2 linked regions of the Cricetulus griseus genome follow. The protein of the gene in region 1 purifies or fractionates together with the protein of each later gene. This does not show direct contact. Links are inferred from orthologs where the notes say so. Each region holds a gene or a part of one and is shown in the gene's direction. Other genes may lie near its edges.

What was found.
Region 2: the proteins of Mideas (region 1) and Hdac2 purify together in Homo sapiens (affinity purification with mass spectrometry; 5 studies listed by BioGRID and IntAct, with this or other methods). This does not show direct contact. The link is inferred for Cricetulus griseus from reciprocal best matches to the Homo sapiens genes MIDEAS and HDAC2.

What each region holds. Positions count from the first base shown.
Region 1 is NC_048598.1:119,604,447-119,608,094, forward strand, and holds part of Mideas (mitotic deacetylase-associated SANT domain protein), read left to right. Parts: intron 1-423; coding exon 424-512; intron 513-2,417; coding exon 2,418-2,567; intron 2,568-3,599; coding exon 3,600-3,648.
Region 2 is NC_048595.1:259,855,817-259,859,464, forward strand, and holds part of Hdac2 (histone deacetylase 2), read left to right. Parts: intron 1-828; coding exon 829-921; intron 922-996; coding exon 997-1,105; intron 1,106-3,648. UniProt on the Homo sapiens protein: Histone deacetylase that catalyzes the deacetylation of lysine residues on the N-terminal part of the core histones (H2A, H2B, H3 and H4).

The sequences.
Region 1 (3,648 bases):
GACTCCCCATGCTCTTAGAGGGGAAGCATGAAGTGGGTAGGCAATCCATGCAAAAAAAAAAAAAAAAAAAAAAAGCCCAAGTCATGGGTACAAAGGTCGGAGACCTAGGGAGTGCAATCAACTGATTTCAGGTACCTGGAACTTAACCCTTGGAGTGCTTGTCTTAGTCCAGGCGCTGTATTGTAGCTACTGTTGTTGAGCCTCTATTAGGTCCATATTTGTCTGTACCAGTCAGAGTTTCAAAAGGTTGTTCCCACCTTCTTGGACCTGGGAAGACAGTTTCTGGTGTTCATTCCCGTTTGACAAGCAAGGGGAGTGAGGCTTCCTGAGGCTGGTAGATGTGGATGGCCTCAGAGTCATGCTCACAGAGCAAGTTCTTATGTTCCTGCCCGACTCACACCTGGTGCCCTCTTTACTCTTTAGGCTCTGATCACTGGAAGACAGCTGAGAGGAAGCTGTTCAACCAGGGCATCGCCATCTATAAGAAGGATTTCTTCCTGGTGCAGAAGCTGGTAAGCAGGGGCGAGCAAGGGGTCCTGTGGTCACTCAACAAGTGGCCTGATGGCAGGGTGCTTGCCTAGTGTATCTGAGTCACAGCCATCACTGCAGTTAGATCTCTGCCATCAAGTAGCTCCAGAGACAGCTTTGTAAAACCACAGCTTGCACAGATGATCCTCCGCTGACCTCTGAGCTCTCCAGACAGGACTTTAAGCCTAGATGTGGGTGAAGGGGGGTGGGGAGGGGCGGGCGGGTGCAGACTTGGGGGACATGTGGGAATGTATTGCTCAAACCAAATCCAGTGGTCAGATAGAGCTATGAAATGGGAGGGCAGCTGTCAGTCTGAGAGGACCACAGGGATGGTCTCATGGTCCTAGCATCACACCACATACTCTTCACGCATGAAAAAAACGGAAATTAGGAAGGTGAGTGACTTGCCTTAGGATGCACAGCCTTTTGGTGGCAGTTAGTAGCAAGGCTAGGAGGGCCTTCTGCTTCCTCTCTGGGTTTTCCCTGAGTCTTCCCCACATGACGTTTCTCTTCCTTACTTGGCACTGCTCCCTAGAGAGCAGTGAAACCATTCCCCAGATTGATGCAGGGAGTTTGCACTGCTGTACTGGGGCCGGCTTTGAATGTGGAAAGATGCCCAGGTGCTTCTCCATTTACTAAATGAGAAGAGAAGAGTAACTCCACATACGCCCATTAAAAATGCCTTGCTGAGGGCTGGAGAGATGGCTCAGCAGTTAAGAGCACTGACTGCTCTTCCAGAGGACCTGGGTTCAATTCCCAGCACCCACATGGCAGCTCACAACTGTCTGCAATTCCTGTTCCAGGGGACCCGACACCCACACACTGGCATAATAAATGCACGTAAAATAAATTTTTAAAAAGTGCCTTGCTGAGATTTACTGGTTTTACCGTTTATCCTGGTTTCTTTCTCCATCTGCATCTAAACACCCACCATGAAATACACACATCTCTCTATTCATTCTCTCTGTTTCAGCTAATCATTGAAAGTAAGCTATAACTGGGCTTGGGGCTGTCTAGGCCTATAATCACAGCTATTTGGGAAGCTGTGGTAGGAGGATTGCAAGTTCAAAGCCAGCTTGGGCTACTGAAGTGAGTTCAAGGCCAGCCTAGTTACCTTAATGAGACTTTGTATCAAAATTCAAAAAAAGGAGGTGGGGTAGGTTGGGAGTACTATTTAATGGTAGAGCATTTGCCTAGCTTGTTCAATCCCCAGTACAGGGCACAGGGGTTATATTCAAATAAAACTGTCCTAAGCATTGGCAAGCAGTGTAAACTGTATGTTGAGAGGCGTGGTTCAAGAATCACTTTACTTACTGTTTACATGTGAGAAAGCAGACATTGGGGTGGTGAGCCCCTTTTTACCTGAGGACTCCAGGAGGAGCCGTGTGCACCTCTGAGAAGTTGATGAGGGATAAGAAAGCTCAGTCAGTCATACCACAGGTGCAGATGCTGACCCAGCCAAGGCTGCTGAGCCCCTGCAGGTCTTGCTGGCCCAGTGCCGCTTCTCATGGCACAGCCCTCTGGTATCTAGTCCACGGTCGAATCTCCCCGGTAGTTTTGCTATTGTCCTTCATTGAAACGGTGCAGAAGCTTCCACTAATTACGCTGGTTGTGTAGCAGGCATTGAAATGGGGTTTGAGGTTTAGTTTTTTGTTTGTTTTTTTGTGACAGGGTTTCTCTGTGTAGCTTTGGAGCCTGTCCTGGAACTCCCTCTGTAGACCTTGAACTCACAGAGATCGGCCTGCCTCTGCCCCCTGAGGGCTGGGATTAAAGGGTCTGCCACCACCGCCCGCCCTTGGTTTTTTTGCCTAAGGCTAAGGGAAGTATGCAGAGATGAGAAAGGTGAGCCACTTCAGCCCCCTCTGACCTCCGTTTTGGCTTTAATTCAGATCCAGACCAAGACTGTGGCCCAGTGTGTGGAGTTCTACTATACCTACAAGAAACAGGTGAAAATTGGCCGCAATGGAACGCTCACCTTCGGCGACGTGGATACAAGGGATGAGAAGTCAGCCCAGGAAGAAGTTGAAGTGGATGTTAAGGTTAGTCCTTTCTCAGCCTCTGTTGCCTCAGACTGTAGCACCAGAAGCTTAAGGCCAGACAGACTCTCCTAGAGTTTATAGATGGTAGACAGGGGGAAACATGGTCCTGAACCTTTGAATTCTCCCATATCAGCTGCCGGGTCATAGTGATAAGTGCTGATGAGCGGCACCAGCTTCACCTTCCGGTCTCCTCAGAGCAAACCGCTGACGTCACTTCTGAGCTCTAGCCCTTCTTGCACCATGATCTCTGCTGTCTGTGCCCTAACACAAGCCACTACCACTAATTCTTTCATGTACCATACTACTTTCATTATTCATTTTTTGAGTCAACTCATTCTTTTTTTCTCAAAAGGGAAGCTTTATATTACAGTCATAAATAGATAACCAGTATTGTTTCCTATAAATAGAAGGTGCCGGGAAAGGCAAGTTCACATGAAAACCAAACACTGTTACTAAACGCCAGCTCCACGCTGTAATTGCCTGCCTGGCCTCTGAGGCACAGGGCCAACTTGTCTTTTACACAGATCACCAGGTCTAGGGAATCACTAACCCCGACCTCGTCCTTGACAGATGCTGTGATACTGTCTCTAAGTCACAAGGCCGTACTTGGTGGCATGCTACTTTGAGACCAGGGAGTAGTTTGGTCCCCATATTGCATATGGGAAGTAGAGATACAGAAAATGTCACAGATAGTTAAACGGGAGCTCAGTTCTCCTGCTTGGCACACTCTGAGGTCACCCTGCCCAAAGGGTGCCCAGAAGATTCCAGGCATCTCTCCAGGAGACCAGGTGGTTTGTGGGTGCTGGCATGCTCCCTCCCTAACCCTGGCTCTGTCTCTCCCCCCCCCCACCCCCCCCGAGGGCACCCAGGGTCAAGACTACTCTGTTTCTGGGCCAACTGGCCATGGGAATTCTAGTGTAAGAGGCTACCCTGGCCCAAGACAGGGCGGCGGGACCAGCAGGTGCTGTGGAGCCTTGGCTGGATTCAGAGTCTGCTCTCTGGAATGACTGAGCTCATGTTTGTCCCCCATAGACTTCTCAGAAGTTCCCAAGGGTGCCTCCTCCCAGAAGAGAGTCCCCAA
Region 2 (3,648 bases), on another chromosome or scaffold:
GACGATCTGACAAAGTTCGGTGGTCTTGGCAGGTTCTGCAGATAGTCCTTGGGTAGCAGAGACTGGTGTCACAGTGGGAATGGACAGAGTGCTCTATAGCAGTGGGGTGCAGGATATCACACTGTCCTCAGATGGTTGTGGATTAGGGGAGGCCACACAGGGTCTTTATCCAGGATCAAGGGCACAGAGGACCACATAGACCCAGGGCTTCTTGGTAGGTTGTGTGGAAGACTGATTTTTGGGACCCTCACTGGGATTGTGGTCACAGGGCTCCAGGGTGGTGCAAAGGGTGCGGTTGGTATTGGCTCTGGAGACCTCCCTTACCAATGGTTCTGGGTCATAGGACACCTTTCAGTTTGAGAATGATGAAGTAAGTGGGGTCTGCCTTTACATCTTGTAAAATCATTTCATACCTAATCAGATTGAGGTTTGTAAGAACTTTTTACTTTGTTTTTGTGTGTTGGGAGTGATATGAGTATGGCACGTTAAAGGATACCATGCAAGAGTCAGTTCTCTCCTGCCATGTGGGTGGGTCCTGGGGATCAAACTCATTGAGCTTTACCTGCTCAGCCCTTCTGCCAGCCCAAGCTACAAGACTTGTGTTTTATTTGTATTAACTGAATGAATGATGCTGTTAAGTTTCTTCCCTAAAACTTGCTTTAGAGCTTAGGAAGTATGTCTACAAATACTGGATCATACACCTGTTTATTTTATTTTTTTTTTATTATTTCCTTTTTCAGATTTGTGTTGCTTGATCTTCTAATCATTTCAAACTAAGTCAAGTTTTTTGTTATGGAATAATCTCTTAAGATCTGTTTTTGTTTATAGGATATTGGTGCTGGAAAAGGAAAGTACTATGCTGTCAACTTTCCCATGAGAGATGGTATAGATGATGAGTCCTATGGACAAATTTTTAAGCCTGTAAGTACTGCTTTCAAAAGTAAAGTGGAGTTGTAAAATATCCTTAGATACTAATGTGTCTTGTTCTGAGTCTAGATAATCTCAAAAGTGATGGAGATGTACCAGCCTAGTGCTGTGGTGCTGCAGTGTGGTGCAGACTCACTGTCTGGTGATAGGCTTGGCTGCTTCAATCTCACTGTCAAAGGTAAGCGCTGCTTCCCACGAAAGTTCTCACTGTGGAGCGCTGAAGAGATGGTTAAGAACCTGGGTTCGATTCGCAGCTCCCACATGATGGCTCATGACCCAATGTTATTCCAGTTCCAGGGGATCTAGCACCCTCTTTGATTTCCACAGGCACCAGGCATCGCACATGGTGTACAACATACACATTTTTTAAAAAGTATTTTGAGAAAAAAAATTTAAGTTCTCATTGTTATTTTTTGCTTGCCAACTTGATGACTTGATGCCAAACTTTGTAGTTGTATGGGTTTTTTTGTTTTGGTTTTTTGGTTTTTTTGGTTTTTTGGTTTTTTTGGTTTTTTGGTTTTTTGAGACAGGGTTTCTCTGTGGCTTTTAGAGGCTATCCTGGAACTAGCTCTTGTAGACCAGGCTGGCCTCGAACTCACAAAGATCCACCTGCCTCTGCCTCCTGAGTGCTGGGACTAAAGGCGTGTGCCACCAACACCTGGTTTGTAGTTGTATTTTCAGTGGGTTTTTTGTTTTTGTTTTTTTCTATTTTTTTTCCCTTTTGTGGGGGGTGGGGTGGGGTTATGTGGCTGACTAGTAATCTTGTTTCCCAGCAAGTCCTTCCTGTGTTGCCATATTTGTGTTTATACATTTATCCATGAATAGTTAGTTGCCATCCTAACTGGCACAGGAGTTGTCAGTGTTTTTAATCCATTATATCAGTTTTAAATAATTTGTTTGCTGTTACAGTGATGAGGATTTGCTCTGATCTGCATGCTCTTCCCACATCTGTTCATAGCTGTAAGAATCTGGGCCATGGCCATTGCTAAACAGCAGCAGCACACCAGTCACTTTTTTGCTGACTTTTTTGTTTGCTTAGTTTCCTCTTTGCTCATTACTAAACTGAATTTGGAAATATATTCTGCTCAGCTGTATCAGGTGCTCCGTCCCTGACCTAAGAATGGTCCTCCTGTTTGAACTAAGTGTCCTCCTGGGTCTAGTGGGACATAGAGCCCTCTGCTTCTGTTTTACTACACCTCCCTGATCAGTGTGCTCTCCATTTCCCTCTTAGTTGTTACCTCTGGCAGAACACGTTTGTTTTGTTTTTGTTTTTTGAGACAGGGTTTCTTTGTGTAGCCCTGGCTGACCTGGAATTCTCTTTGTAGACCAGGCTGGCCTCCGCCTCCCACGTGGTAGGATTAAAGTTGTGAGCCACTACCACCTGGCTTAGAATAAACCTTTTTAAAGAACAAGCCTTCATAGTAAAGTTAATGTTTGGATCAGAAATGGCTTGTCATGCACATTGCATATATTGCAGTAAAGTCCTTTTTTTCCAAGTGAACTTTGCAGTAGCAATTAGCTTTAAATGAAGGCATCTTACTTTGAATTCTCTTATAAGATGTAAAGAATCCTAAAATAGCACTTTTAAAATAACTAAATATAGATGTTAACAACTACTTATGATTGCACTCTGCAGACCAGCCTTAGGACTGTGGTATAAGTCTGTTACCCTACTTCGCGTGTATTGAGTTGGCCACACAAAATTAGTTGCCCACTTTCTTGGTAGGTCAGCATTCAGTTAGCAGCACTGTCAAGTTGTTGCCTCAGAAGTGTTACTAACCATTTAGTGTCAAAGCAGATAGGAGTTCCCTGAAGTGACCTGTCTGATGTGCCCTTCTTTCTTGGTGCTAGCAACTTATACACTGCAATGAGCAGTAACCCCACTTCTAGTGTTTATATTTAAAAGTAGTAGTTTTCATTATAAACTGCATTTGACCCTTACAGTATATATATGTTGTGTTTCAGAAGGTAGAGGAAGTTCATTTGTGTAAAGCACATAAGGATGTTTGTAATTCCATTTTAAGACTTAGAATAAATGCACTTTCCTACGACTAGCCTCAGCTACATTCTCTCAGGCCTAGTGAAGTCAGCCACCTGATGTCCAACTTGCTCCACTTAATTGTTTTTTCCATGCTTCTTCCTCTTTGGGGTTCTAGCCTTCATTTTATAAAATCCCTTTATGGTTACTTGGCCTGGGCTGGGTGGTAGTATGGGATGCTGTTTTGCTGCTGTTCCTGTAGTCTGCATAGAAACTTCTGTCCTCACAAATGTCCACATGGTTCTATCAGAAACACTTGTTCCAGCAGGAGATGCCAGTTGACAATTACATGAAGGAAACAGTTAATTAAACATAAAAATAAACTTCCCTTAGTTAATGGTGATCTTTTTTCTTTATGTCATTTTAATTTTTTCCAAATTACTTTAAACTTTGTTATGAAAAGGTTACAAAAATCAACAAAGCATCACACACTGGAGTTAACCAGACCCCAAGACGGTAACTCACTGATGATCTATGCTGAGCGTTGCAGTGAAATATCCACCCCACACCTGTAGCGCTGACCACACTCAAACAGATGTGGTCACAGGTGCAGACATGATGGGTGGGTTTAGGTCTGGGGTCGGGACAGGTGGCTCTCTCTTGCTTCCGGTGGGGTCACAGAGGGCAGCCTGGAGCTGGAACTTGTGGCCATCACCACTTCTTGTATGAGTGCATTCTCCCTC